4 linked regions of the Lonchura striata genome follow. The protein of the gene in region 2 purifies or fractionates together with the protein of the main gene of each other region. This does not show direct contact. Links are inferred from orthologs where the notes say so. Each region holds a gene or a part of one and is shown on either strand. Other genes may lie near its edges.

Region 1 (7,988 bases), on a different chromosome or scaffold from region 2:
CCTGAGCCCCGCTGTGTCCCCGCAGCCCGTGTGCCCGCCGAGTGCCAGGAGGAGCTGGGGGGGCTCTGCCTGCGCCTGCTGTGCCGCAGCGTCCTCTGCAGCTGGGACACGGGTACGGGGGGCTGGGGGGCCACGGGGAGGGGTTTAGGGGGTGCAGGGTGGGGGACAGGGTGGGGGGCACTTGGTGGATATGGGGTGAGGCAGTGGGGTGTGCTGAGAAGGGTTGTATTTGGTGTGTGGGGTGAGGGAGTGGGGTGTGCTGAGAAGGCTTGGATTTGGTGTGTGGGGTGAATCTGGGGATGTTGGAGCTTTCTGACTCTTTCTCCTCCAGATTTTACCCGTGCTCTGGGCTCAGGGCTGTCAGACAAGTGCTTGGAAGCCCCAGGAGGTTCCCCAGGGCCGGGCTGCAGCCGCACAGCTCAGCAGCTCCGGCGTCTCTTCCCAGCCCTGGCACTGGCCCTGCGCTGCCTGCGCCTGCTGCCCCCCCGCCCGCACGGTGAGAGGGGTCTGGGGTTGGGGCAGGTGGGTCTGGGGATCCTCTCCCGTGCTGACCCCCACCCGCAGCCCCTCCCGGGGGTCTCTGCCCGCGGCTGCAGGTGCTGGGCCGGTGCCTGGCGGCGGTGGCGGCCGCCCACGCGTGGCTGACGGGCCGGGCCGGGCGGTACCTGGCGGCCTGGGCGCTGCCTCAGTTCCTGCTGCTCACCCAGGGAGACCTGCAGGTACGGGGGGCACAGCGGGCACGGGGGTCTGGGGGTGGGCACAGCAGGGCTGGACTCGCTCCTTCTGCTCTCCTCCAGGTGCTGAAGGCAGAGGTGGAGCAGCTGATGCTGCAGGTGAGCGGGACCTTCCCGGAGCCGGGGGACATTGCTGGGGACAGCCACCCTGAGTCCCCTTCCCCGTGGGAGCTCCAGCTGTGCCAGCAGATCCGTGACGTGGCCAACAGCATCCAGGTATGGCGGGACTGTGGGAGGGTGGTCCTGAGCATGCCCGTGTCACCCCGTGTCACCCCGTGTCACCCCGTGTCACCGTTAGCGTTCACAAACACATAATCATGGGATATGATTATCTGCACATGCTTTTATTAAGAGCTCTGGGAATCAGGGGTACAGCCCCAAATCTGACTCCGACACGGCTTTCAAGCTGAATATATTTTATATTCTATCCTTATGTAACTCATATATTAATTATTAAACTTACATTGTTCTATTGTATACATTGACATGAGTTTCTCGTGATCTTTCTTAAGTTGCTGACCACAGTTTCTCATGATTATTCTTATGATTAAACAGTAATTATATTTAATTAGATTTATTTTATTTTATTTATATTTATATTTTATTTAATAGATATTAATTTTAACATATATTAAATATAATTATATTTAACTAACTAAACAATCATCACATCTAACAATTCTATCAATTATCATGCACTACCTACACAGTGCAGTTCTAGCAAGTACGAGTTCTCCATGTGCTTAGGGTGTTTATTTTTCTAGGGCCTACTAAGCTGATTTTTCCTTTTAACCCTTCATCCCCATGATTTTAAAACCCTTTTACTATCAACCCCACGTCCCAGCTCTTCTCGGGGGACGTGCTCTGGATGTTCTCCACCAGCTGCAAGCGGCTCTCGGCCGAGATCTTCGACCAGACGATGCCGCTGGGCCGGCACTGGCGGCTCGGGCCCCGTGCCGGTGGGTTTTGGGGCTGGGGGGGGGTTTTGGGGGGGATTGAGGGGCTCGCTGATCTGTGTCCCTGTGTCCCCCAGAGCTTCCCAGCTCCCCCAGCGCCTACGCGGCGGCCGCGGTGCAGGCGGTGCTGGGGCAGGTGCTGCAGGGGGCCCAGGCCCTGCCCCAGGATGCCCAAGTGCCCACCTTGGCACGGGTCACCACGGCCTTCCTGGAGGCCTGGATGGATCACATCCTGACCCGCCGGATCAAGTTCAGGTACTGGGAATTGGGGGGCCACAGCCTGTGGGCAGTGCCAGGGGTCCCCGTGGGGTCCTGGGGGTCCCAGTGGCAGTTCCAGGGGTCCCAGTGGGTTCCTGAGGGTCCCAGTGGGGCCCTGGGGGTCACAACGGGAATTTGAGAGGTCCTAGTGGCAGTGCTCGGGTTCCCAGTAGTAGTTTCAGTGGTCCCAGTGATGTCCTGGGGGTCCCAGTGATGTCCTGGGGGTCCCAGTGCAGTCCTGGGGGTCCCAGTGGAGTCCTGGGGGGCCAGTGGCAGTTTCAGGAGTCCCAGTGATGTCCTGGGGGTCCCAGTAGCAGTTCCAGGTGTCCCAGTGATGCCCTGAGGGTCCCAGTGGCAATTCCAGGTGTCCCAGTAGCAGTTCCAGGGGTCCCAGTGATGTCCTGTGGGTCCAAGTGGGGTCCTGGGGGTCCCAGTGGCAGTTCTGGGGTCCCAGTGGCACTTCCAGAGGTCCCATTGGCAATTCCAGAGGTCCCAGTGGCAGTTCCAGGGGTCCCAGTGGGGTCCTGGGGATCCTGGTGGCAGTTCCAGGAGTCACAGTGAAGTCCTGGGGGTCCCGGTGGTGGTTCTGGGGATCCCGGTGGCGATTCCGGGGGTCCCACGCCCACCGTGCCCCTGTGCCAGCCTGCAGGGTGCCCTGCAGCTGCGGCAGGACTTCCAGGCCGTGCGGGACCTGGTGTGCTCGGAGCGCTCCGGGCTGGCTCCCGAGGCCCGGCGGGCGCTGCGGGCGCTCGGCGTCTTCCGGCACACGGACGCGGCCGTGCGGTGCCTCCTGCAGCAGCCGGGGGGGCCGCGGGGAGCCCCCCGGGGCTGGGGCGGCCTGCGGCGCTGCTGTGAGAGCGGGGAGGGAGCGGGTGGGGAGGGGATTGGGATGGGATGGGGATGGGGATGGGATTGGGGTGGGATGGGATCCATGGGATGGGATGGGATGGGATGGGATGGGATGGGATGGGATGGGATGGGATGGGATGGGATGGGATGGGATGGGATGGGATGGGATGGGATGGGATGGGATGGGATGGGATTGGGATGAGATGGGACTGGGGATGGGATGGGATGGGAACGGGATGGGATTGGGATGGGATGGGATCAATGGGATGGGATGGGAACAGGGTGGGATGGGAACAGGGTGGGATGGGATTGGGATGGGGATGGGAATGGGATGGGGACGGGATGAGACGGATGGGACGGGATGGGATGGGGTGGGATGGTAATTGTCTGGGATGGGATGGGATGGGAATGGGATGAGGTGGAGTTGGGATAACACAGGGTGGGACAGGGATCAGGAGACTGGGACAAAGATGGATGGGGACAGCGAGAGGGACAAGGATTGGAACGGAGCTGGAGATGGGGATAGGAACCCCCATCAGAAGCAGGACCTGATCTACCAACCCCCATCCATCTAGCCAACCTCTCCATCCCTTCCCAGGCTCAGATGAAGGCGCCCACCCCCTGGAACAATCCGTGGATCCTCTCCCTGACCCGGACCCTCTGGAGGGGCCAGGCCCGATCCCAGGGCCGCCCCCGGAGGCCGCGGAGGCTGATCCCCCGTCCCGGCCCGAGTCCCCGTTCCCGGGCAGCCAGCAGCAGTGGCTGGCGCTGCGGCTGCACCGCGCTCGCCGCTGGCGCGTGCCAGGCCTACCGTGTGTCGGGAACAGCCCCGAGGGCTGAGCCAGAATAAACCTGGAAATGGCACGGCCGTGGCTGTGTCTGCGGGGTGGGATATTGGGGTACGGGGCTCTGGCATCCCTGTTGCTGGTGGGCACAATCGAACTGGAATTTTTACGGGGCTAGGGGGTCCTGGAGGGGCTGGGGGTGCAGGGTGGGATTCCCCTGGGGGTCCGGGGGGATATTGCAGGTGGATAGCTGGAGTTCCAGAGAGGTGCTAGGGAAAGCTGGGGCTCCTTTGGGTACCCCCAGAGAGGCTGGGGAGGAGATTAACAGACACGACAAAGTGGGCATCAGGTGTGGGAATCCAGGGATTCCCTCTGGCTGCCCTGGCACCCTGGCAGGGGTCAGGAACCCCCCTGGACAGAGCCCCCAGAGACACTGGCTGTGATCTCTGGCCATGGAAAAGAGTTTGCAATCTTACAGGATCAATTACCAGCTCTGAGTGTTTGATATCAGTAATAATTAAGTATGGCACGGGTGCAAAAGTAAAATTTTAGGATTCTAGATGGGGGGTCCAAAGGGGACAAGATGGAGGAAATTGGGTGTGCCTTGTCCTTTTTCCTCCTTCTTCATGCCCTCCATGTCTCACTGTGGTGTTGGCATTTTTCTGTTGGTTCAGGCTGGGGACACACTGTCCAACGTAGGTGACAGATATTGGCACGTTATTGTAAATCCAGCCCAGGGAGTTTCTGGTATTTAATGTTTGTCACATCCCACTGAGGGCAGAGCCCCACACGCTGCCCTGCAGGACAGAGCTGGGCAGGGCAGCAGAACATGTGAGAGATCAACAGAATAAACAACCTGGAAACCAGCACAGACCAATGATGGCTTCTGCTTTGGCAGCGGGGCTGACAGACAGAGACTTTCTACAACCTCAGAATCATCAATACCACGGATTCCCACAGTGAGGAGCGGGGCCGGTCGGGCCACCCCGCGGTGTCGTTGTCCCGTTGTCCCCTCGGGGTCTCCTGGAGGACCGAGCCTGCGCGTGGTCCTCCCGCCCGCCAGGGGGCGCTGTGCGACGGGCCCGGCCGCCGCCGGCGCAGCGGTGACGTCATCGGCGCGACAGCCCTGATGGCGGGCGAGCGGCGGCGGCGCGGCGGGGATGGACCGCGGGAACGGCCCCGGGAGCGGCTCCGGGACCGCGACGCCAAACTGCGGCCACACCAAAAGACGCCGCGAGGCTCCGGCCGGGGCCGGATGCTGCCGGCGCTCGCAGCGGCAGCGCTGGCGCTGGGTCTGGCAGCGGCGGCGGCGGCCGGGTGGAACCGGTGGAGCGAAGCCTCCCGCCTCGTCACCCCGCACCCCGCGCCCCCCGCAGTCCCCCCCGGCTCCACCGGGCCTCTCGCGTCGCCCACCTATTTCTGGGGCACGTACCGGCCTCACGTCTACTTCGGGATGAAGACGCGGAGCCCGCGCGCTGTCGTGACCGGTGAGGGGCGCGGGGGGCTCCGCCCCGCCCTGGGGCTCGTCCGGGCCCGCTGCCGCCTCCGGGACCGCCCGTGACACCTCCCCGCCCCTCCAGGGCTGATGTGGCTCCGACACGGCGGCAGCTTGCGGCACACGAGCGAGCAGAACGACGGCGTGTCGCGCTACGGGTGGCTGATGCACGACGGGGAGAATTTCGGCGTGCAGGAGATCCGCGACGAGGGGCTGGTGCTGCGAACCGAGTTCGTGAAGCAGCCGGGGGGAGAGCACGGCGGCGACTGGAGCTGGCGGATCACGGTGAAGACGGAGGTGAGGGGGCGAGAGCGGGAGAGGGGTTGGGATGCTGGGGAGCTTTCATCACCCTCCTCTTCCTCCTCCCCAGGGCAACGGCCCGGCCCCTCTCCTGTCCCTCTTCTTCTACGTGGCCACGGACGGGCAGGGGACGCTGCGGCCGGTGCTGGAGAACGGGACACGGCTGGCGGCCGTGGCGGGGACGGCGGAGGAGCTCGGGGACTTCACCCTCACCTTCCTGCCCCCCACCGGGGAGGCCGGGGAGGGACCCAAGTATGCCAGGTGAGTGTCGGGGCTGTGGCCCCAAAATCCCTTCCGTCCGCCGCCGTGTCCTCCAGCCCTGACTGTTCCCTCCCCCCCCAGTTACAACTTCCTGGCCGCGGGCGTGCCGGGGCTGCACCGCCTCACCGACCTGGTCCGGCACAGCCTCCGCGACGGCTCCGTGTTCTCCCCGCCGGGCCGTCCCCGCCGCCGCTATTTCGGGGTGTCCGGCACCGGGGGGCTGCCCGGGGAGCCCCCGCGGGGGCAGCTGCTGCTGCACCAGGTGACACTGGAGCCGCCGGCGACGCTGGAGGCGGCGCTGGAGTCGGGCAGCGCGGCGGCGGAGCGGCGCGGGAGGCTGGCGGGGCCGGCGCTGAGCGCGGCGCTGGCCCGGCACGCGGCCGCCTTCGAGCGGCGCTTCGAGGACACCTTCGGGCTGGGGGCGCGCGGGGCGTCCCTCCCGCAGCGCCGCTTCGCCCAGGCCGCGCTCAGCGAGATGCTGGGCGGCGTCGGCTTCTTCCACGGCCGCTCCCTGCTGCGCTCGGAGCGCCGGGAAGAGCCGGTGCCCGGCGCGGAGGCCGCGCTGTTCACGGCCGTGCCCTCGCGCTCCTGCTTCCCGCGGGGCTTCCTGTGGGACGAGGGCTTCCACCTGCTGCTGCTGGGCCGCTGGGACCCCGCGCTGGCCCGCGACATCCTCGCCCACTGGCTGGACCTCCTCAACGCCGACGGCTGGATCCCGCGGGAGCAGATCCTGGGGGAAGAGGCGCGGTCCCGTGTGCCCCCCGAGTTCGTGGTGCAGCACAGCGAGACCGCCAACCCCCCGACGCTGCTGCTGGCGCTGGAGCGGCTGCTGCCCGACGCGCCCCTGCCCTACCTGCGCCGCCTCTTCCCGCGCTTGCACGCCTGGTTCCAGTGGCTGAACCGCACCCAGGCCGGCCCCGAGCCCTTCACCTTCCGCTGGCGTGGCCGCGACACCGACCCCGAGCGCTTCCTGAACCCCAAGACTCTGTCGTCGGGGCTGGACGATTACCCCCGCGCCTCGCACCCGTCCGCCCAGGAGCGGCACTTGGACCTGCGCTGCTGGATGGCGCTGGGCGCCCGCGTGCTGGCGGCGCTGGCCGAGCGCCTGGGCGAGCCGGCCGCGCCCTACCGCGCCACGGCCACCGCCCTGAGCGACAACGACCTGCTGGACCGCCTGCACTGGGCGCCCGAGCTGGGCACCTTCGCCGACTTCGGCAACCACAGCGCGGCCGTGGCCCTGCGCTGGCACCGCCCGCCCGGCGGGCCCCCGCCGTCCCCGCGGCTGCGGCGGGAGGTGCGGGAGGCGCCGCGGCCGCGCTTCGTGGACGCCCTGGGCTACGTCAGCCTGTTCCCGCTGCTGCTGCAGCTGCTGCGGGCCGACTCGCCGCGGCTGCCGGCGCTGCTGGGAGCCATGCGGGGCGAGCGGCAGCTCTGGACGCCCTTCGGGCTGCGCTCGCTGGCCCGCGACAGCCCCTTGTACCTGCGGCGCAACACCGAGCACGACCCGCCCTACTGGCGCGGCTCCGTCTGGGTCAACATCAACTTCCTGGCGCTGCGGGCGCTGCGCGGCTACGCGGCCGCGGCGGGGCCGCACCGGGAGCGCGCGGCGCAGCTCTACCGGGAGCTGCGGCAAAACCTGGTGGCCAACGTGTTCCGGCAGTACGAGGCCACCGGATTCCTGTGGGAGCACTATCGGGACAGCGACGGCGCCGGGCAGGGCTGTCGCCCTTTCGCCGGCTGGTCCGCGCTCGTCGTGCTGGCCATGGCTGAGGACTATTGATGTGGGGGTGTCCCTGTGCCCCCGGCGTGCTCAGGGCCAGGGGAGGTGGTGGGGGGCTGTGGCGGAGCCCCCCCATTGCCTCCCCTGCAATAAACCCCCACGAATGTCGCCTCTCGCCGCCCGTGTCAGGGTGTCACAGTGTCGCCTTTGTTTTGCCCCTTCCTGTGCTGTTGGAGGTCGCCCCCCAGCCCAGTGCAGCCATCACAGGGGTCGGTGGTACTTCCACATCTCTTTAATGGTGGGAGAAGGTGCCGGGACCACCCACCCCCACGGTGTCGGGCACCCCCCAGGCAGCAGCACCGGGATCGCAGGGGAGGCCCCAGGAGCAGTTTGGAGGGGAGCGGGTTCCAGCAGGACCCCGCCACACTGCCAGGTGGGTGTCAGTCTAGGTGAAGGGCCCCCAGGGGCTCCGTGATGAGTCCAGACCCCACTTGGGGGTCTTGGTGGGGGGCTCAGACGGGCAGCATGGGTGAGCCAGGCCCCCCGCCACCCCCTGCTCCCCCACAGCCCTCAGCCTCGCCCTCCTCCTCCTCTAGGCCCCGGCCCACCTCGATGCCCGAATCCCCTGTG
Region 2 (7,546 bases):
CATAAAGATGATTCATCACAACACAAAAAAATTGCAAGGAGGCAAGAACAGAAAGGCTGAGACACAGATATACATTTTCCCTCTCAAATGACAGTTCTGTTGGTTTTGAGCAAAGGCTCAGCTACCCTACTTGGTAGTGCACTAATTTCCTAAAGTCAGAATTACTGAAGAGCAGAGGAAATCTCTTTTACATCTCACAATCCCTCTGCCTTCCACATCCTGCCTCCTCTGCAGTGCCTGGGTAACTGTTTACACAGCCTCATGATGAACCAGCCGCTGGTTTAAGATGGCTCGAAGTCCTTCTGCCATGTTATTTTAACCCTGCATCAATACCCCAGGCTAACCCAGCAGCAAAAGCAAAGAGTTGTAGCAGTACCAGTGAAAGTAAGTAGCCAGGGATAGAGGAAATAAAGTTGTTGGCAGCTCAATATCACAGTTTCAAGTGCAGGTCTGTCACCTGTACCTGCCTGATTTCTCTTTAGGCAGATTTGGGGGACAGACACTATGGTGCAGCTGAAAACTGTGTGGCCAAATCCTATAATTTCAACAACTAGTACAGGGCCTCAGCACACCTCAAAAGGGGATATAAAAAAATTATGTTCAGGTTCATACAACAACTCATATAATGCAGACAACACTTTTTCTTCTGAAATAGTTTTTCAGATGGACAACTTCCACTATTGAGAAGGTTCTCCCTTTAACATCATAACTCAATGAACAACAGACAAGGCTAAGGAAAACCATGTTACTAACAAGAGAAGAGAGGCAAGAACTCTCCATGGTGGTCCCTCCTACATTTTTTTTTCTTCAGTAATAAGTGGCTGGGATACACTTCTACATGAGGAAGAAGTCTCCTGGAAAGGATTAGCCAAACCTCTTCTGGACAGCCCCACAAAAAAAAGCTGCCTCCTGTTTGGGCTCTAGAGAGCACAAACCAGGCAAGGGATTAGGTGTGAAAAGGGACAGCAACAAAGCTTGCTTTTAATAGGCATTTCAAATATGCCAGTTTCTAAAAATAATGTACAACAGTGCAGACACAGTACAGAAGCAAAAAGCAGATACCGTTTGTAAGCACAGATATCCTTCCTGCAGAACTGGAAGTCCTTGGAGGGTAAGACAGAACCATGAGGCTTTTTGACCTCATAAAACAGATGGGCTGCTGGGAAAATGATATTAGTGGGGGCAGATCTGGAGGGATCCCAAGATCTTTGAGACCATCACACCTAGAAAACAATTCAAGTTTGTCCTGTTACAGAACTGATTCCAACAAGAACAGGCTGCCACTATGACTACTCCCAGAAGCAGAAAGTCAAAGGCCAGAAAAGGAAGTAAAAGGCAGAGCTAAGTACAAGTCTCAGTGTATTCTCTGTAAAGGATTTATTCATTTACTCAGGGTAAGTGCTACAGCACACCACAAGAGAGGGTTTTCCAATGGAATTTGAAAACTTTCTTACTATTTTACACTAGATTCCCTTCCAAGGAGGGCAGCTGATCCCAAAAAGCAGTTTACATATCATACACAGCCTGCAATGCTGCCTGTAAATTGTATAAGTATCTTCTTCATAATGTTTAGTTAAACTAGAAATACTAGAAGTTAATACAAACACATAGTTTTACTCAGACCTTTTCATAATTTTATTAAGTGTTTTGCATAAGCCCATCAAATACAGCCTAATTAACAATAAAGTGGTCTTTGAAGTCAGTGTGAGCCTAGAGTAATATATATATATACCAACCTATATTTAACCATTATTTTATCTGGATTAGCTCATACATTATTATAGTTCTGCTATCTCTTTGCAGTACTTTAGCAACAACCAAAACCACAACGTGCAAGACTGTCCCACAACACCCATGTGATATGTTTACTTGAGGACGTGAAGTCAACACACTACATTTAGAAATACATTACATGCCTAGAGACCAGTTTTCAGACATCTAACATTCTCTAAATAAGTTCCAGAAAGAGTTTTCCACTATGACCTGCAGAACCTCTGCAGCATTAATTATGTTAAGACTGATTCTTTAGGTCTGGACCTTTACCATTACTACTGCCATTAATACATGTCCACTACCCTTCACAATCAAATCACCTGCAGCATTTCTCTTTCTGTAGCCTAGAAAGTTCTGAACCACAAACCTGCATGTGAAAGTTCACACTTTAGAATAGTACAGATAAGAAAGCAGTGTGCTGTACATGCTTTAATTCAATGGTGTGGGTTTTATTTTTCTTTTAAAAGCACACAATACAATCCTCAGCCAGAAATGAGAAGTCATTTATACACTATTTTAAAGGCACCAAATGCAAACAATATTTGAGGGACAAAAATCAAAGCAGGCATTTCAATGCCTTTAAATTCTCAGATGTTCCTACTGCAGATTCGTCGCCTGCACTTCACCTGTTGGGACTCCAGCCCCTCGCCATAAGCTCCCCCCTTCCAGAGGCTTCTCCTTCCCCTCACACAGCCCCAGCCAGGCCCACGCCGGGCTCTGCACCCACCTCCTGATCTCCCCTGCACGGGGAGCACGTTCAAGATTATTTCCGACATGGAACACGTAGCCAGCTAAAACCTAAACCACGCGCTGCCCACATCTACGTGCGACTCTCGCCTCCCTCCCGGTTCCACCACGCGGCCCTAGCGCCAGGCGCTGCCCGGAGCGGCGCTCCCAGAACTTACCAGAAGAGCCGCCGCTCCCCCCAGGCCGCTCCGAGCCCTGCGGGGGCCGGGCGGGACCCGGCGCCGCCGCCGCAGCCCCGCGCCCGCCCCCGGCCTCAGGGGCCTCCCCAGGCCGTCCCTCCCGCCCTGACTGCGGGGGCTCCCCGCGCCCTCCCACCGCCGCGATGGGGCCGGGACAAGCACGGGCCTCCCACCCCCCAGGGCCCAGCAGCGCCCCGCCGCACGCCCCACGACAGGCCGAGCGCCCCCGCCACCGCGGGCGAGGCCGGCTCCCCCGCGCCGATGTTGCGGAGCCGCAGCGGCTGTGGAGGGAGGGCGCGGCCGGCCGGACACACTCACCATCCGCCGCCCCGGCCACCGCCGCCGGGCTGCCCTCACCTCCGTCACGTGCCCGCGCGCCCGCCGCCGCCCGCCTATCTGCCGCGCGCCGGCCCCACCCCCGCCTCACGGCGCTCAGCGTCTCCCATTGGCGGACAGCGCGCTCGTCCGCCCGCCCAGTCGCCGGCTGTGCACTCTGATTGGCTAATGTCACCGCCGCTCAGCAGCCGGCCCGCCTCTAGACACGCCCCCAACGGCGCTGCCCTTCGTGGAGCGCTGTCATTGGTTGGCGGGGTTGCAGGAAGTGCCGGCTGATTGGGTGGGCGCGGGCAGGCCGTTGGGATGTGGGCGGGGTCCCAACGGGTGGCGGTCCAGGGGCGCTGCGGGCGGCGGGGGGCGGCGGGGGCGGGGCCAGCCGCAGCGCCTCGCGCCCTGCCCGCGCCCCCCCATCCCCTCACAGCCTTCACCCTCTGCTCCATAAAATTCCGCTGTGTTAAACAGCAGAGCCATCTTTATGTCTTCTCGTTCTTTAGAAGGGGTGTTCGGGTTTTCTTGCCTATTCAACAAATTCAGTGTATCTGGTGGTCTTTCCCTCTGTTACAAGCCGAGGGTTTAATAAAATAGCGAACAGTGACGCAGACTCCAGCGTATTCGGAATATGGCAGTGCTGCTCAGCAGCTGCTTGCCCAAAGGCCTTGTGCAATTCCGGAACCTTTAACCTGTGCTGTATTTTAAAAAGGAAAGTAACGCAGTTTTGTAGAGGTGAAACACTGTATAAATGTTGAACATTTGTACATCGAATCATTAAAGAAACACAGGGAAATACAGAAAAAAGTGTCCTTGGTGGGCCCATGGGACAGACAGGCCGAAGGAGACGCCGGGTTTGATGGACCATGTGAAGGAGGTCAGGATTAAGCCTGAGGAGTCTCCGTGTCCTGCTGCACACACAGCCGTGTGGGAGGCAGGGAACACGGCCCCACGGTGAGGAAAACAGGCTCTGGTAGCCTGGAAGTTAGAGCACCTTTGTGCTGTCTCCAAGCTGCACCAGCTGAGAGCAGTTCCACAGAAAGCTGGGTCTGAACCACCCTGTTCAAAGCCAGCTCCTGCATGGTCTCTGGGCTGCAGCCTGTTCCAGGAGATAGAAGGTATTCTGCAGGAATAACAAATCCAATATTACTAGAGAAAAGAAAGAAAGAAAAGGGTGGTGGTTTTTTTTTTTTCCTTTGTAAACATAAATCTGTTTTGAGTTGATGCAATGAGTCAGCAGTATAAGTTTCCCCACAGAGAAAATTCCACTGTGTTAGGACAAAGCAAGCAGGGCCTCAGCATTCAGAAATAAGGCTCAGCATAAATGAAATCAGCAAATCCCTGCTTGCACTGAAGTTTGGAATCAAACACATTTTTCCAGAAAGACACCGAGCTGGTTCCTAAACTGCTCTGTTGAGCTATACCCAGACTTAGCAGAAGATGCAGACAGGCAGGGAAACAGTCACAAACAGGCAGCACAGGAGATATCAAATGCTTAAAGAATAACCTAAAAACACTATGGAAAAGTACTTTAAAGAGTAACAAAACAGTATATTTTAGCAAGTGCCCTCCTCAATCTAGAAAAACCCATTTTTCCACCAAATATCTTTCAAGCCTTTTTTTTGAAACAGGTTATTAACTGCAACATGACTGCAGAACAGCATAATACTCCTGCTGAAATCACAGAAGCACCAGGAAGTCAAATACACACACACACACACATGCACACACGTGATTCCCCTTTCTCTCCCACCCTTTCCCAAAAAAGAAAACATTCCTTCCTTTTACAACCTGCTGAATCATGTCACAGGCAGGCAGCCCTGGAGCTGGCTCCTGCCTGTGCTGCTTTGTCATCGAGAAGAAAGGAGCACTGTAAGTTACAAAAAAAAAAAAAAAAAAAAAAAAAAAAAAAAAAAAAAGAATCTGCTAAAAGCATATCTTATGTGGGGATTTTCGAGATGTTTGAACTTAGATAAAAGAAATACAGAATGAACACAACAGAGAGATAATCCAGAAGGAAAGCAAAAGGGATGAGTAAAGGAAACTGAAGAAACATGCACAGAGATTTAACTGCTTTGGCAGCTGAGAAGATGGTATTTTTAGACTCTAGAGTGCCAGGGCAGGGAAGGTGAAAGAAAGAGAATGGCAGATACCACATGGCAAACATGACATTGTCAAGGAAAATAATTTTGGTGTGTTCAGGCTTTATTGCAGCAGATCTGCTTTGTCCCACTGACAAACACACAGGAAGTGTGTTGCTCTCTGACTTTGGCAGTACAGTTAAAAAGGCAGAAATCAGGCAGTGTGGTGAGACTGGCAGAGCCTGAATATGCACACCTCAGAGGTGAGAGGCAATGGTCAGTTTATTAGTGCACTAGAACTGTGTGTAATTCTATTTGTGGGAACTTTCTTTTCCTGAGTGTTATCAGACAGAAACGTCATGTGCTTTCCACTGGTATTTTCATAATTCCCTCTAACTTTATCTCCAAAGTGTTCCTCCTTCCTTAATCCCTTCAGGGCATTGCCACATTGCTAGAGTTCTCCTTGCATTTCAAGCACTAGTAGTACATCTTTTCAAACTCATCTCCTCTGGAAAACTGGCAAGAAACGAGTGGAAAATCCAGCAGGTCAGTGTGACAGGAGGGACACCACACTGGCAGAGAGCAGGCAGTCAAGGCAGACAACCAGTGAGAGTACACTGACTTTTGCTCTTTCAAACTTTGAACTGCAGGAGGGGAGGCAAGCTCACATCACTGTACGGAGCAATGTCCATGTGCTCTGGAATGCTTTCCATGGAAAACACATTTTGTTACAAAGACATCTCTGGGGACAATGCTTGAGAGAAGGATGGGAAAAGATGCATGAACATTATCAGAACAGGGGGAGGATAATAATCTTAAAGGGAAATAATGAAGTCCTACCATTTTCAGAGCTAATAAACATGAATGTAAAAAGTGTTATAAATTAATTGTAATACGATGAAGCAGATAAATAAAAGAAAAAAATCAACAGATAAGTAGTAACTGAGCACTCACACATGGATAGAAAGAGACAGGCAGAGAGCACTGAGGTGGAGGAAGACAATCTATCCACCTGATACCGTTTTCACAAGCTGGGAAGTGTCCCTGAGAACAGGAACTTTACAGACAACTTCTGGGAAGCAGAAATTCAGAGTCACCCGAGACAAGATAGTAGGTGCAGGTTTAGTCTGGACATAAGGTAAGGAAATCTTGATGGTTGTACACACCTTTTCTGGCTGTCATAAGCATTGCACCAGTTTGCTGGGAAAAATCTGGCTTCCACCGTGCCCCTTTCTGCCAGTTCTTTCATGGACCTGGTGTAGATTTGCTTGAGAGCGGCCCTCATATATCCCCAGAACTGTGTCCTCCCTGAGGGTCTCACACTTGAGGCATTTGTATCCAAGCATGGTTGCAACATGTGGACTGGAGTTATTCCCTCACTAGGGAAATACAGGTTACCCTTTGGATTTAAACAGATGAAGGCTTGCCAGAAACAGCAAGAGGCTGCCAACACCGTCCTGTCCTTAGGGCATTAGCAACACCCAAAACCTTTTGCAAAGAAGAAAATGCTCGATCCCCACAGCTCCCTGAGAGGCAGGGCACAGAGAGGGGCTTGAGTGTGATTAGCAGCAAGGCCAAAAGAGAGACACTGTGTTAGAACAGAGTCTTTCCACTTTAGCTCACACGTTTCAGATTCACCAGATCAGAGACTGACAATAGCTGCTCTCCCCCAGCTGCTCATGGATCTGTGATAATTCCTCTACGATAACCTCTTGAGTTGGTACCACCTTGCATGGTACCACTGGGGGCTGTCTGGCTCAGGGATTGTGCTTTGTGTGTTTGGAAGCAGTTGTTTGTTTTGAGGAACAACAAAAAAATCCCAAAAACAACAAAAACCAACCAGACCCAAGAAAGCCCCCAAAAAAACCGCAGAAAAACCCTCACAAACTCACAACAAACAAACAAACAGCTCCCCCCATCAAACAAACAAAAATAAACCATTTTTCAGTGGTCAAGTTTCTGAATGTCTTAACTTTCGACAGTTTCATTGGATGTGATTAATGGCAAATGAAATTCCATTCAATCCCAGGGTAAAAGGAAAGTGCTTAATTGGTGTTATTATTATGTAGAGTGAAGAGGGGCAAGATAAGCAAGGAGGAAAGGAAGGAGTGGAAGGAGAAGAAGGAAAGGAAGGAAAAGAAAGGAAAAGGAAGGGAAAAAAAGGAAAGGAAGGAAAGGAAGGGTCTTCTTCTCCCATAACAACATGTGATTGTTACGAGGCACAATGAGGTCCCGTGGCCAGGATTGCCCAGGAGCCCCCAGCCACATCCCACTTGCCCTTTGGCTTCAGGGGACAAGAACTCTTCCAGCCCTGCACAAGAAGCCTGGGATCTGGAGCCAGATGCAACCCTGGGTTAACTGACCTGGCCTCAGCATCGTGCTCCTCCTCAGCTCTCTGCTTTCCCCACCACAACCTCTTAAAAAACAAGCAAAATCATGGAA
Region 3 (8,043 bases), on a different chromosome or scaffold from region 2:
AGAAATAGTGAGTGGAGGGCGGTTCTCATTAGGAACAGCTGGAGAACTTCCTGACTTGTAGCTCCACAGTTCATGGGAACACAGGCAAAGGGGAAAAGGGCACAGCAGCAGAGTTTATCAGAACTCTAAATTCCACCTACTGTCCCAGTCCCACCATTTCCCAGTCTCCCAGTACCTGGGCTGCATGAAAGCAATTCAGGCAGCATCACAAGCTGATGACAATGAAACCTGACACAATCCCACCCAAAATGGACGCTACTTACTTCGGGTGTGCACTGTTTCCTTTTTTGTTTTCTTTTCCATCTCCTGTTTTGCAGCTTTCTGAGCATCGTACTCCCGCCTTCTGCGCTCTTTTTCCTCTGCCTTCTCTCGCTTCCGCAGTTCTCTCTCCAGAGCCTCCTTTGCTCGCTGTTCTGCTTCACGCTTCTTCTCCATTTCTGGGGGTTAACAGCAAGTTTTCCCCTTTTATGTAAGAGGGTTGTCACTGCCATTTTCCTTACTACCTTATTGTCCCAACTGGAATGAGGAAGCCAATTAAACAACTATCATCTTTTTTTATAATTTTATTTAGTATTACATACCTTGCATTTTGCTGTGCTTTTCTTTCAAGTTTCGTAGATAACCTATAGCACATTCCATCTAGAGATTTAACTATTCCTCAGGCCAAGGAATCACATACACTACTCCCCTGCTATATTTCTCCCTCCAGCCATTTTACTCTACTATTCCTTGAGTGCTTTGACTACTTTGGCTACAAGTATATGTTAGATGGCAATTTATTAGATGGTGATCAGAATGTTTGGATGTGTTAGACCAAGAGCAGTCCTCAGCAGACTGCACGTGGGGGCTGTTTGTCCCTACCTCTCTCTGCCTGGAGTTTCCGCTGCCGTTGTCGATCTTGCTCGGACTGGATTGCTTTCATGTGCTGCAGTACCTTAAAAAGCCAAGAAAACAACCTGAGGGCTGTGCAGAAGCCCAGTGGCACAGTCAGTTCAGAACAGAACAGATGGAGTATGGCTTAGAACAAGCAGCTGGGGCTGACTCCCAACCCTCCCCTATCCCTACAGCTACAGCACTGGAAAGAACTCACAACTTGTGTGAGTTTCTGTTGTAAAAAAGCCAATCCTCCTGTTAAAAACAAACATGGCAAACTGGTGCTCAGTGATACATAGGATCACAGAACATTTCTATTTATGTTTGCCAGAACTTCTCCAGAGCTTTTTGTGCTATCAGCACAGGCATGAATTACTATGTCTTATTATGCCTCTATTTTCTTGGGAACCAGTATTTCATCCTCTCTTCACTCCACCAATGGAGAAGCATCCTCCTCAGCCGGGTGTTTGCTCTCCACAAGCATAGCAATAGGGAAGTCAGTGCAGTGGACCTGCACCTCACTCCCTGAAGAAACTTTGGGCTGGGCTCCTGCAGCAGATACCCAGCTCACTAAGCAGAGAAAGAATCACTGGCAAAGCCATTAAAGGAAAAAAAAAAAAAAATACAATAAAACCAGACTCCTTACCTTGACAGCAGCCTGCTTACACTGCTTCTCATCCAGACAGTCTCCTGCCACTTTAGCCAGGACAGGATCCAGGGGATTGTCCTTCAGATCCAGCCACTTCAGGTTCTGCAAAAAATCACAACAAAGGGGAGGCTGTAAGAGCACAGCAGTCCTGGAATTATTTAAGAGATCCGAAGCAGAAGCAAAGAACTGCTTAGTTTTCACATTAATGAAACAGGTACAGAAAATGAGCAGAGTTGTTTTCAATAGACTGAGAGGATTTTCACTGAGCTGTGATGCAGACCCAGCTGAATTTTGGAATGAGTAGTCAGCAGGATGGATGCTTTACCAGAGAAATCAACTTGAGCAGGATCACAAGACCCTGGGCTGCATCCCAAAGCTTTACGTAACTGCCCAGCAAACAGTTTTACCTTGAGCTGTGCAAAGCTGACTGGCAGGGTGACCAAGCGGTTGTTCAGAAGGTCCAGGTGCTGCAGATTGACCAGGCGGCCAAAGTCCAAGGGCAGCTGTTGCAACCGATTTTTACTCAAATCCAGTTTCACCAGATGCATCAAACTGCAGAAGTCTGACTAAAACCCAAACAAAGAAAACCCAGAGAAAGCCGGTTAGCGCCTTTATGGAAGAACCTAAGTGGGAAGTATGTGGAGACAGCCTGCACCTTGCATCAGGCACACATCCTTGATTTACTACAAGACTGTGATGGAGGAAGATTACTCTCCTCCTTTGCCTTGGAAGATGGAGGTGAGACACAGTAGGACAGATAGACAGACTGAGAAGGTTATGGATGACAATATGACAGGAACAAACCCAAGTCTCCACTGCGGATGAAAGTCCTCTCTATTAACCTGGGGATGCTCTGGAAGGAGTGTACTGCAATCTTCACACAGTTCAACCCTGTACTCTCTCCTGCCTCAGCCAAATCACTGCCAGCACTGACCCGTCACTGACAACGAGTCATTCAGCCACCCCAGGGCAGTGAAAATGCCAGTTCCACGGTGCCTGGTGAGCCTCTCCTGAAGCACCAGCTATCTTTCCAAATATTTCCCAGCAGACACATCCCCACGGAGGCTCTCTAGCACCTTACCGGCAAGGAAATGAGGTTGTTACAGGACAAATCCAAGATAGTAGCTTTCGGAAGAGCGGCCTGAAAGACAAATAAAGCACTGAATGAACATGGAGGTTCACCCGACCCCCTCTGACACCTGTTCTGCTTCGGCCTCTGCGGTTTCTCCCGCGTCAGTCTGTCCATCCCCCGCGGCTGCTCCGAGGCCACGTCATCTCCGGATCCATCTCTGTATCCAAAAAGGTTCTTATCCCGGGACAGCAGTGACTAGCGGCTGTCGGGCCCGCGGGACAGAACCTCGCTGCTTTCAATACCTGCAGGCCAGCTCACAAGCCCCCAGCACATCCAGCTCCCCTACGCTGCTCCTTCCCGGGGACCGGCAGGCGGTCCCCAGCCCCGCCGGGGGGGGTACGGCCGGAGACTCACCAGCTCCCGCACCGGCACCTCGTTCAGGTCGCAGAGGCTCAGGTCCAGCTCGTTCCCATCCAGCTTATCCTTCAGGCTGATCCCCTTCCCGCTGCCCCGCGACATGGCTCCGTCGGCGGCTGCCCGCGGGGGATGCGGCTCGGTTGGGTTCGGAGCGGCTCGGCACGGCTCGGCACGGCACAGCCCAGCCCGGCGTGGCACGGCCCGGCCCCGCCACCCACTTCCGCGGCCACGTCTGCACGGGCCCCGCCAGCCGCCCCGAGCGCGCCCGCTGCCGGCCCGGAGCGGGGCCGCACCGGCGCCGCAGGACACCGAGTTACCCTAAGAAAGAACGTTACCTGATGCTCGATCTCTTTCAAACCTAAGCAAAAAGAAAGGAGATTTAATCCCCGAAGCAGACAACCGCTAATAAGCTCTGAGCGCTTAGAAAGACGAATTACTTGTTGGTAGAATTGTCTTGTTAGGGTTTAATGTTGATGCGATGATCTCAGATGTAATGGGATGTTAACAAAGCTTGGGAAGAAGGATGTACTACTGATAGTGGGTACAAGGAATGCAGGATTTATGGGCTACAAGAACATTAGGCAGAATTTCCAAGATAAGGAAGAAACTAATAAAGCTGGCTCAGCAATTGGGTTGAATCAGCTCCAAGCAGGTAAAAGGTAGTTCTGTCAGGAGTAGATTATGACCACCTATTCATGGACACAGACCCAAGAAACCCACCAACCCAAAAGAAGAGAGACAAGACTGTGGACTAATTAGTATGGGAAGTGAAAAAAATCATTAGGCATTGGAAGATAGAATACTAATTGATATGAGAACCAGATAACTCGTAGCCAATGAACATTAATGCCTTTTGTTTGCTAAAATATATAAACAGTCAAAAGTTTTGACAGTTGTCATGCTGGCTTTGTGGATTTGCCATCCAGTGCAGAACTGTAAATAAATCAAATACTACAACTCTGGGTTTGGGTTGGCCTCCTGTACACTGGGTGGGAGAGCCTATTTTGGGACACACTGGCACAGCTCAGGGCATCCTTGCAACTGTCCCACCAGCCCTGGAACCCTGGCCAGGTTGGCAGGAGTTTAGATCTGGGCTACATGAAACAGCCCTGCAGAAGGCAGGAGAACTCCCAGCCAAGACCCATGAGCAGGGGCGGTTTTGCATCCAGTCACATCACCTGACACACAGAGAACCAACTGGTTTATGGCCGATAATCCCAACAGAAACCCAAGGATGTATACCTTGTTTTGCAATACCTGATATAGCTGCTTATATCTGTCCACACTCTCCATAATCCAGGGGCTGAACTCCCTCTCAGTTTGGCTGTTACATTACCCCACAATGTCTGTTCACAGGAGGGACACTTAATGGATATTCCTGCTTTGCTCCCAAGGCTCCAGTCCCACAGGAGCAGGGCACTCTGTGGAGAAAGTCAGTGAAAGAGAAAGGAGCCTGGGGCAGAGCCAAATTAGTGTTACCTGGTACTGGGATTACAGCATGAATTTCCTGACTTCTGTGCTATATGTGATGTTTGGGACATTGCAAAGATGTTTTCACTATTGCAGCCCATCTACTCTGTGGATGCATTAGTTTGTTTGTAAGCTGCCAGTGAATTTCTTCCAACACCCAGAAACCAATTTATTTGCTCAGTACTGAGGTAACTGAGGCCACAGGATTCTCTGAACAAAGGCATGCCAAAGTAGCACACAAGGATTTGCCTCGTAGAAACTACAATAAAGTTTGCCTGAGTTTAAGGTGTCTCCTGTCCAGGAGATTATGGAAGATTTTCAGAGCATGTTATTGTTCTTCCAAATGTGAGCAGAAATCACAGAGCCCTCATCTGAGAGGAGTGAGGTCTACTTATCCAAGAAGCTCCCTCCATACATCAGATTTCACAACAACGTTTGTTGTTGGAGGGAAGAGCCAGAGAAGACCTGCTCCAGGGAATGGTGGGGAAACCAGATCTCCAAGGCAGCAGCTGATTACTGATCCACTCCTTACCCTGAGCCAGAGAGGGATTCATGTGATGTGCAGTGCTGTTCCCCTCCATGGAACAGCACCAAAGACAGTCCTGCTCTGGAGAACAAAACCCAGAGGGGCTCTGAGGGGGCCTGAGCAAGACCCTCTGCATATCTGGGAAATACAGAGACTAAAATCTGTGTTTGAAAAATCCAAGAGCCATTGGCAAAACCAAACAAGGGTGTAATGGGTTACAAAACCTACCTACTTGTTTGTGATTAACAGATTTGAAAATCTTGATTAGAAATGAATGCTACCTTATGCAATGGTGTATGAAATGTTACTGCTTCAGGGGTCCTTTGATTTGATCTCTAGCCAAAATCACTACCATCTCAAACAAACATACTCAAATGTCAGGGTGACATTTCTGCATAATTCATGGTTTAATTCTTTCTTTAACTGGGACTCACCATCTAGGCTAAAAACCATAATGTGGGAAGATCAAGCCAAAAGTCATCTTTATTTTTATTTATTACACGTTTGCACTGATTTTTTTTTTTTTCTCTGTGGTTATACAATACTGAGAGCTCTGATGCTCCTTCAGCACAAAGACAGTTGCTCTGCTCTGGCCAAACAGTGGAAGGACAACTTCTGGCCACAGATGTCACACAGCTTTACATCCCCTGTGGGAATCCAGAAACTCACCTGGCTGCTGGGTCCAGTGGGGCTGACTGGAGGAGGTATCCGTGCACGCAGGCTAGAAAGACTTTGAAGCTCCACAAGACAAAGACAAAGCATAGCACAAGGTGCATCTGTGCACTCTGCTAGGGGCTGCAAGAACATTAGCAAGGAGAATGGAGCAGGAAATGCTGAGGGAAGAGGGATGAACACAGTCGATCTAATTGTGATCTAATGCTCCTTACTGGGGCTGAGCTGACCATGCCAGCCTGGGGTTGGAGACCATTCCCAGACGCTCAGAAGATCTCTGGCTGCCCTCTGCAGCCAAGGCAAGTTTTTCACATTTCAAGGGAAAAAAATTCTCCCTTTCCCTAACAAAGAAGACATTGTCACTGCTGCCACCAAACAAATTCCTTGTGAACTAGATGCACATTGGGGAAAATCCTTAATTTCTAAAAGCAAGTGTCAGACACTAGAGATCTGGTGGCAGTTGGTATTTCACTCTGTCGCAAGCACAGTTTTGGCTTTGATGTCTGAGATTCACCATTCTGAGGTTGATATTTACGCTCTTTGTCAGCGCCATTGTGCATGATGTGATACACATACACTGTGTCACCTCTTGAGCATCAGTGCTGATGCAGAGCTCAGCAGCCCCACACCTCTGTGCTTAGGTGAGGGGGGTCTCAGCCTGCCCAGCCCTGGAGCAGCTCTGCCGTTCCTAGCTGCTCTCTTCTCCTCCACAGGGAGTGCATACAGGTGTTAGTGAGGTGCTAGCTGATAACTCATTGATGGCATAGGGCTGGAGGGCAGTTGGTGACTCACAGGGCTCAGGCACCAAGTGATACAAGTGGAGACAGGTAGAGGCAAATAATGGTGTTTGTCTTGCACCAAAGTCAGTCTCTACTCATTTGAGTGGAGAGGCTTATTCGGGTGTAACAGTGGTTGGGTCAGGCTGATGGAGCAGGCCTGCCCATTATCTCAAGAAGAGATAGCGGACCAGAAATGTGCAGGGAAGAAATTGTGGTGGGCAGCTTGGGCTGGGGACCGGCAGAGGATGGATGGGGAGATGCCCGGCGGGACTCTGGGGGCTCCGTCTGAGCCCGCAGTCCCTCTCGCGGACCGGGCAGGGCTGGCTCTTTCTGTGCTTCCCTTCCCCCGGTGCCTCCCCCCGGCCGGCGGAGGGTCCCGGGAGCGGCGGGCGGGGCGGGGCCGGGGCGGGGCGCGGCGCCCGGGGCACCGAGCGGCGGCGCGGGCCGGGCCGGGTCCGCGGGGTGCTGCGGGGTGCTGCGGGGTGCTGCCGCTGCAGGAATGGCCGTGGCCCGTCTGGCAGCGCTGGCCCGGCACGGGCTGCAGCTCCTGCGCCGGGCGGGCGGGCAGCGCGGAGCCCCGCCGGGCAGGTAGGGACGGGCTGGGGAGCGGGAGGTGCGGGATGTAGGGGTAGAGGGCTGTGGGGCTGTAGGGGACTGGGGCTGTAAGGGAATTAAAGGGTGCAGGGGGCTGTGGGTGAGAAGGAATAGGGGCTATAGGGGGCAGAGGGCTCTGGGGTCGGGGAGCTGTAGGGCACAGAGGCTGCAGAGGATGGAGACCATGTGTGATGGGGGACAGGGACTATCAGTGCTGTGAATATCCAGCTAGGCCAGTGGCTGCATGCAGGGAGGGCATATTCACCCTTGTCATCCCCAGACCCTTCCAAAGTGGCAGAAGGCAGGCTGTATCCCCTGGATCTGCTTCACCCCACCTGGGAGTGGGCCGGGGCAGGGATGAGCCCTGAACAGCAGGAGAAGGGAAGTGAAGGCATGGCAAGGGCTGAACTTTGTGCAGCGGCTCCATCTAGATTGCAGCAATGTGAAGTTTATCAAATGGCTTCCCCATCTTCCTCCAGAGCTCTGACTTGCTGTCAGTGTCCCTGTCCCCCTGTGGTCCTGCAGCCCCCAGGTAGCTGGGTGGCCAAGCAGTGTGGGACACCAAGAAGCTCTGGGGCTTGGGAAGTCAGGCCAGTTCTTTGCCTTGCTTTTCTTCAGTGGTGCCTCTTTGAGCAAGTTCATGTGAAAAACCAGCAATGGGGAGTATCTGGCTTTGGGAAAGGCTCTGATTGATTCGCTGGTATTCAGAGTAATAATCACTGGGATGACTTCCAGTAAGCAATTCCAAGAATCAGGCGGGGCATTCCTTGTTTTTCACAGACAGGGTTTAGGTGGGTTTTTTCAGCTGGTTTGACATTAGGAGTGAGGTGTTGAAGCCACTTCATCATAGTTGTGTGAAGATTGCCTTCTCAGAATCAGTTCTTAGGAAGTAGGATCACAAGAGAAGCATGACAACATTCACTGCAGCTCACTTCAGCCCAGAATTGAAACTGAGGGACAAGAACACAAAGCCCTTGGGGAGAGAGAGCAT
Region 4 (7,268 bases), on a different chromosome or scaffold from region 2:
TCATGCCAATATTTTTGGTACATGCTTTAAAATAATGGTCCTAGAGAGGAAAAAATGTAATTTCATAGTTACTTTTCCTGTGAGCTATCTTTGCTGACATTCAGCTCATAACTAACCAGGACAAGGGGCATTCAGAAGCAGATGGTTCACCCTGAAGCAATAGTGTCTTGTGTAGCTAGTCACTGTCCTCAGATACCACTATGCCAAACAGGCTTAAGGGAAAAAAGCAAAAAAGTTGGTCAAAAACATTAGTAGAGCTGGAGAAGCTGGCTTCTCCCAACAATATTATCAGATTGAGGCACAAACAGGTGTGATTTTAAAAGCCTTTCCTGTTCTGGTAGGAATATATAGCCAAAGTGAGCCATATATTCTTGGGCTGGATAGAGCTAAGATGGAAGAGTGACAGAATCAAAACATAATTTGCAACATAATTGAAACGATGGGATTTTGTCTCTGTACAGCTTTTATCAATAGAAAATAAGCACCTGAACGCATTATCAAATGCTCAGAACTTAGAAAAATGCCACTAAAATGACAGTGTAGACAGTTCAAAATTCCTAATGACTACAGCCATGTCGAAACTCCAATGCCAGCATTAAGAGACCCGGTACAGCTTTCAGGGACTGCAGCGTGGGTATTCAGCTTGCCTGCAGGCGTTGCTCACACCCGCCGTAAGACAAGCGCTGCCTGCCCCCGCTCAGGACGCCTCGGAGCGCGCCCCCTGGCGCCCGGCCCCGCCCGGCCCCACCCTCCGGCCGCTCCGCGCACGCGAGGCCGGCAACCCAAGGCGGCTGCGGGCTCCGAGAGGCCAGGCGCTGTTTGCTCCTAATAAAGCCAGGGGCGAGCGGGCCCAGAGAGGGGCGGGGGAGGCCCGTTCTTTTACTTCATTCCGCCTTTCCATCACTGCTTGCAGTTCCAGCTTCCCACCCTTGTCCCTTATTTCTAACTTCTTACAAATGTCAGTGCTGTCCCTCCTATCCTCTCTTAAACTCACCAAGATATTTTGCTTTGGTTTTTCACCAGAATCCCAGTCCCCTGGGATGTCCCTCGCTCTTCCTCTTCTTTTCAATTGTTCTGGGGGCAAATTATTCTGGAGACACCTGTGCTAATCTTTTTGAACGACAGCTGATCACAGAAGTACCCTTATGCCAAAAGACATTAACAGGGACAAGTTACTCAGGCTACAAGTAGTTGCAGAACTATTCAAGTGGCACAAAGAAGAAAACAAGCACAGATCATCCAAGTTTGTTTTACTTGGCAGGTATTGTTTGGGATTTTTCTGAGTGTTTCGGTTGGGGTTGGTTGTTGTACCGAGGGGAAGGCGACACAACACAGGGCACAACGGACCCAAATCTGAGCAGCTCTCACTAGATTATTTGCCGAAATTCTGGAACTTCTGATGATACAGTGCTCTGATACTAAAACACAAGCATAAATAACACAGAGCCTTCCAGATATTGTCAACAAAAGTGTAGGAGAACCACCCATTCTGTAAACATCAAAAAACTCACTCACAATTGTTTGAACTTAAGCCCTCTTGAAAGGAAAACTCCTATCTAGGAGAGGAACTAGCAGTTCTGATATGTTCCTCCTCCAGCAAGCATGAAACAAGTCAGATTCAAGCTCATCATGTTTTACTCAAAAGCAGCTTATGAATGCTATCAGCAGACCACTCTAAGTCAGAGAAATATCTGTTTCACTGTAACTGCATTCAGTAAATGCCAAGTAAGTGTCTGAAATAGACAGAAATAAGGTAAATAACTTGGTTTTAGAGAGCTCTTCCTCTTGAAGTTACAGTTTTCGACTTTTTAGTTTAAGAACTGCTCTCTTAGAAAGTTAAAGCGTGAAAGACCTTCAAAGGACTCCGTTTCTCAGCACGCCCTCAACTAATGACCTTTGAAACACAGTATCTAAGACACAATTAAATAGTTTCACTATCACACACATTAGGACTCCGGAAGCTGATAATCATTATCCAAGGCTTTTCTCGAGATTAGACATCTTACAACACCAATTACAAGATTGCATTCTCAATATATGCAAATTTATAGTACACTTATGAAAAATTAAGAAAAAAATCACATTTTCCCAAAGAGGAAAAACTTCAAATGCCATCAGCTTTCCCTCTTTCATCACACGCGTAAAGTCTAAGAAAACAAGCACAGTGGACGAACAGAACAGGCACCAGAGGCGCTTTGCTGTAATACACATCTTAGAGGTACGAGCAAGACGTCTACATTAAGCAGACCCTCTTTACACTAAACAGTCCACATCATTAAGCGAAACAAACTAGCTGTTACCGCGCAGCTTCATCTTTCATTTAGAGGCATTTACACCGACCAGCGCTGCTGCCGTACAACCGTACAACAAGCGGACCGGAGTCCTTTCCTGAGCAAGCTGCAACCTCGTACAGCTCTCTTGCTTCGCTCCTCCAACACAGCAATAGTCTACTTAGGACAGCGCTCGCCAAGCTACAGCAAAGGTTTCCCAGTTTACAGTCTGGGGGCTGTTTGCACGCTCCACGCGCGCTGGCGCTGCCTTGCCCCGCAGCTCCAAGGGGCGCTCCGGGCGGGACGCATCCTGGAGGAGCAGCCCGCGGCCCCCGGCACCGACCCGCCGTCCCAACTCGTCCCCGGTGCGGGGCGGCCGCCCCGCTGCCCCGCTCCCCCAGGCGGAGGGAGCGTCCCGGCCGGGCGCGATCCCGCCCGCGGCCGAGCCGGACGCTCTCCCGGCCCCGTGCGGGGACCCCGGCGCGCCGCGCCCCGGCGGGCGGGCGGGGCGGCCGGCCCCGTTCGGGCGGGAAAGCGGGCCCGAGGCTGCCGGGAAGCCGAGGCGGCGCGGGCAGGAGCAGCGGTACTCACCCGCCCGGCGGCAGCAGCTCCGCGGCTCCGGGCGCCGAGCGGTGTGGGCTCCCGCTCCTCGTCGCTGGAAAAGTCGGGCTGCGCGAGGGCGGGCGGGTTGCGGGCGGTGAGGTGCTGCAGGTAGAGCTGCACGTACACGTCCTTGCGCTGCTCGCCGCCCGGGAGGCTCACATTGTTAGCGATCAGCTCGCTCTTCAGCTTCTCCTTGGTCAGCACCGACGGATCCGCCAGGAACTCGGGCATCGCCGCCGGCCGCAGCCGCCACCGCCGCTCTCCCGGGAGAGGCACCAACAAAGCGCGGGGAGAAGGGGCGGGGGAGCGGCAGGAGGAGGAGGAGGAGGACTCGCCTGCTCCGCGCCAGGGACCAGCTCCACAGCGGGCGGGCGCGCGCACCGAGCGCTTCTTCCCAGCCAGCAATAAGCGGCGCCCTGATTGGTGGGGAGAGCAACGAAGCGGCCCCGCTATTGGCCGGCGGGCGGAGAGGGGGCGGGCGGCGCGGGAGCCGCGGCGTTGGTGCTTTGCGCGAGGGACAGTAACGCAGTTTAAATTCGGCTCGGGCGGGAGCGGCGCGCGGGGCGGCGCTCGCGGGCGCCGGCAGGGCGGGGGAGCCGCCGGGGCCCCCTCGGGTGACAGGTGTGTCCCCGCCCCGGGAGCGCCCCTCCCTGCCGCGGGGCAGGCGTGAGCGCCATCCCCGTTACCTGCCGCGATCCCGGCGTCCTGCCGCCACACCTGCCGCCTCCTCTGCCCCGGAGGCACCTGCGGCCTTGGCAGAGCGGCTCGGCAGCTCTTTCCCCCGGGACAGCCGCCCAACCCTTTGGCTAGCGGGCTCCAGAAGAAATCCAGCCGGGAAATCAGTAGCTAATCTGTTTGTGTGACTGCCGCCGTTGCGGTGGCTTAAACGCAAACCCCGAACTCGCAGCTACAGTACCGCAGAGTTTGAAAAGCGCTCAGTCGTTTTATTTATCCGTTTGTGAAGTCGACTAATAAAATGTCGCAAGTGTGCTCCTGCTGGAGAAGTTCGATTAAGTTCAACACTGCAGTCTTACAGTCTTTAAACAAGTGGGTTAAATTCTTCTGTGTTTTACCTGCTGCTTGCTGGGAACACGCACTGCTTCTGTTTTATGATGGGAAAGGTTTAGTGTTTAGATTTGACTACATGTCCTATGCTTTTGAGAACCACCTTACAGTATACCAAAAATAAGAATTTAGATGTAGCTATTTCAATTTCTCCATCAGTCATGGATCTGAAATGGGATTGTTGGTGTTTGCACCTACTCTCCTTTGTATTCCAGAAAGAGTTGTAAGTTGCTGTTAGGAAAAGGGATTTCCACTACTGTTGTGTGCTCCGTCAAGAAGCTCTCGTGGTGCCTGTTGCTCCTATTTACCTTACCATAGCTCAGTATCAGTTAGATGAAGGTGATGAGGATTATTTTTTCTGGTAGGTAATTTCGAGACAGATCAAGGACCCACCCACAGGAAGCTTGACACTTCCCACTGAAGAATTGGTGTGATGTAACAAAATAATTAAGAGGAGGGAGAAGCTTAGCTTGGGACATTTAATTTACTTCGTTGTGCTAGTAGCTCTGTGAGGTGGCAGTCATGTGAAGTTCTTTATTATTTGGATCTGAAAGTGCTTGGTTCCTGGTGTACATACTTAACCTGTTCAGTTAGGCAACGAGACTGAACAGTGGGTAGAAACATCTTCCTCCATTAATACCACACATGCACACAGTAAAAAGTAATGAATCAACATGGATTGACTACTATCATTTACTTTTAAGCTTGACTAGAACAAATTAGATGGTTCTATATATATTTTCAGCTATTTTACCCAACAATTTACCAGGTACATGGGCATTACATGACAGGTGTTTTAAAAATACTTAAAGGAAATTTAATTCCTGTTCAAATTTGATAGTGCTAACTTAAAGCATAGTATTTTTCACCCTGAAAAGCTTTTAGGTGGCTTGGGAAATAGTCTTTCATCTACCTTTAAGAATTTGCTTCTTTTCCAGATATGGAACAAGTTGCACAATATACTTTAGAGAGATCCTTCAGTTATCATACTAATGTAAAAAATAACAACTTTAACTCATATCAAGTCTAAAATTATTTAAAGCAGCATAAGGGATAACTGGGTCTGGGAAATTTCAGTCAAAGTTAATAGTGAAAATACAATCTAAAAAGTTGGTGTAGTCACCATGTAACATCCCCAAAGAGAATAATAGTAGGATAGCCCTGAAGCTTGTTTTTTGACAGTCCTTCTTAGTGCAGGCACCATTCACAACTTGCTGTACTGTTCAGATCCTGCAATACAGCTGGTGCTGGCTTTTCTTGTGAGTGCCAGTTCAGGAATGGAAGGAAGTACAACCACTGAGCTTGAATACATTGATGGCAGACCTGGTTTTAATGCATTAAGTGTAGCATAAAAAACCCCTACAGGAATACAGCACAAAATAGTAAATCCCTACAATTACACTCACAGTTCAGCTTTGGTCATAACAAATGGATAGGCTGACTTGTCTTATCTTGGTTCTGTGTTTTTCTGCTTTTGCTGTCAGATGAAACTGGCATAGGAGCATCAAGATAGCAGCTTATCATATGTTTTGGCTATTGTTCAAACTCTAGTATAGTTGTTGCGGAGCCACTTAAGGTTGTGGCTCTCATTAACATTGCTTAAAGTTTATATTTACAGTCCATTTAAATATTTAAAGTAATTTTCCCCAATTATAAAGAAAAAATGTATTTATTGTGAATTACTTTATTATGTTACTCTATGTAACTGTCTTGCACTGACATGGAACTCTTTGTTACCTCTAATTGCTTCCAAAGCAGCCAAACCTAAAGAAGCATGATATAATACTTCAGTGTCACTCTTCTTAGGAGCAACAGACTTCTCTGGGAAGCCAAGTCCTCGGCACAAACCTGTCCTTTATTGGTTCTACACTTCCTTCTGTGAAGCTTTCCAGTACTTGAATGTTTATTCCTAACTGCAAATTCTGGTTTTTGAAGACCAGAATACCTGCCTCTACTGGAGAAACAGGTAGCTACAGTTTCCTACTTGTCAGTATAAATGCTGACAAAAGCAAAGTTTAGGGAAAAAAATGTGAAAATGTTGTGAGACTGGCCATTTCCGGTGGTTAAAAGACTGCTCTAAGCTTGCCTAAAAATGTGAAATATGCTGAAAAGAGAAGCCAAAAATCCTTCCTTTGTAGGACCCTCCCAAATATCTGGAATTTCTTAGCTTTTCTGAGCATGAGAGATTTTTCAAGCATACATTCATCTTTGACATGAAAACACCGAATGCCTTTTAAAACTGTCTCAGATTTCCGGCTCGAGTTTTCCTAAGTTTGTGATTTCTCTAATGCCACCTCTAAAAATTAGATAAATAGTTTATGTTGCAGTATGCTGAAAAAAAAAGGGTATTTCTATATATGTGCATTCAAAAAAGTAACCTAAATTAAGTGGAGGGTCTGGAAAACGGCCTATAATGAAGGACAGATGTATAATTTGCATTCATACATAACATTTGTCTCACAATAGATAACACAAAGACTATACATTCATAGCGCAGTCATTTAAGCACATGTTACAGACATGCTCTTGTCTTAGACTGAGCTGATAAGGAAATGTAAAAAGCTGTATGAAGTATTAATTCAGTCTTGGTAGGTTTCACTATGAAAATTATATTCCCTGTAAGACATGCAATAGAAACTGGAAATATTTACTAGAAATAAAATAAGCAGTTGTCTAATCATTATAGCACAGCATAACTACACTTTCTAGAAACAATTATTTCTTTCCCACAATCTTGATTAATTTAGAAAAATTAGGTGGCTTTTTAATAATTCTAGGTTTTTTCATTAGAAATGTCTGTTTTTAAGTAGAAAGGGAAAAGTGATAAGAAAGAAAGCACGCCTTAGTATAATGGAGCATATTGCTTTTAGAGCAGTTCCAGAGCTGGCAGCCACTGGGAACACTGCTCTGCCACTGTCACCTGAAACAGTGAACAGACATGTGAATAAAGGGATGCCCAGCCCTGTATGGCTGTCCCCAGGCAAGGAAAGAGATTTGTACAACTGCTTTAAAACGTCTTACTGCTGATCTTATGTTCATCAAAGGCCTATACCAACAAGGACTGAAGACAGAAGTGTCAGCTCCTGCTTAAGCATACTGTCAGAAATGAAATGGACAGTTTTCAGGGTGGTTTCCTACAATGAATGATTTCCAAACCAGAATTATTTGGATATTTATTTCTGTCAAACACAGACAGAAGCTATATTTACCATATATAAGCTATTACTTCAGCTCCACTGTTTTTTGAAGCTAAAGTGGACTTAAGTTTTTGCAGGTTTTTTTTTTTGTTTGTTTGTTTGTTTGTTTTTTAGCTAGTAACAATTCCATAAG

Evidence for each region.
Region 1: the proteins of CANX (region 2) and MOGS purify together in Homo sapiens (affinity purification with mass spectrometry; 3 studies listed by BioGRID and IntAct, with this or other methods). This does not show direct contact. The link is inferred for Lonchura striata from reciprocal best matches to the Homo sapiens genes CANX and MOGS.
Region 3: the proteins of CANX (region 2) and LRRC59 purify together in Homo sapiens (affinity purification with mass spectrometry; 3 studies listed by BioGRID and IntAct, with this or other methods). This does not show direct contact. The link is inferred for Lonchura striata from reciprocal best matches to the Homo sapiens genes CANX and LRRC59.
Region 4: the proteins of CANX (region 2) and TMPO purify together in Homo sapiens (affinity purification with mass spectrometry; 3 studies listed by BioGRID and IntAct, with this or other methods). This does not show direct contact. The link is inferred for Lonchura striata from reciprocal best matches to the Homo sapiens genes CANX and TMPO.

Annotation. Positions count from the first base shown.
Region 1 is NC_134606.1:2,199,114-2,207,101, reverse strand, and holds MOGS (mannosyl-oligosaccharide glucosidase), read left to right. Parts: upstream 1-4,954; 5' UTR 4,955-5,035; coding exon 5,036-5,069; intron 5,070-5,162; coding exon 5,163-5,374; intron 5,375-5,447; coding exon 5,448-5,638; intron 5,639-5,719; coding exon 5,720-7,418; 3' UTR 7,419-7,543; downstream 7,544-7,988. Other genes in the region: CCDC142 (coiled-coil domain-containing protein 142), read left to right, coding at 26-112, 332-496, 565-719, 798-950, 1,579-1,693, 1,768-1,945, 2,591-2,799, 3,396-3,637. UniProt on the Homo sapiens protein: In the context of N-glycan degradation, cleaves the distal alpha 1,2-linked glucose residue from the Glc(3)Man(9)GlcNAc(2) oligosaccharide precursor in a highly specific manner.
Region 2 is NC_134617.1:6,815,182-6,822,727, forward strand, and holds the start of CANX (calnexin), read right to left. Parts: upstream 3,108-7,546; 5' UTR 3,021-3,107; coding exon 3,018-3,020; intron 1-3,017. UniProt on the Homo sapiens protein: Calcium-binding protein that interacts with newly synthesized monoglucosylated glycoproteins in the endoplasmic reticulum. It may act in assisting protein assembly and/or in the retention within the ER of unassembled protein subunits.
Region 3 is NC_134621.1:5,720,275-5,728,317, forward strand, and holds the start of LRRC59 (leucine-rich repeat-containing protein 59), read right to left. Parts: upstream 3,239-8,043; 5' UTR 3,114-3,238; coding exon 3,009-3,113; intron 2,664-3,008; coding exon 2,604-2,663; intron 2,089-2,603; coding exon 1,930-2,088; intron 1,625-1,929; coding exon 1,520-1,624; intron 935-1,519; coding exon 862-934; intron 438-861; coding exon 264-437; intron 1-263. Other genes in the region: ACSF2 (medium-chain acyl-CoA ligase ACSF2, mitochondrial), read left to right, coding at 6,958-7,046.
Region 4 is NC_134607.1:55,413,977-55,421,244, reverse strand, and holds the start of TMPO (thymopoietin), read right to left. Parts: upstream 3,264-7,268; 5' UTR 3,105-3,263; coding exon 2,862-3,104; intron 1-2,861. UniProt on the Homo sapiens protein: May help direct the assembly of the nuclear lamina and thereby help maintain the structural organization of the nuclear envelope. Possible receptor for attachment of lamin filaments to the inner nuclear membrane.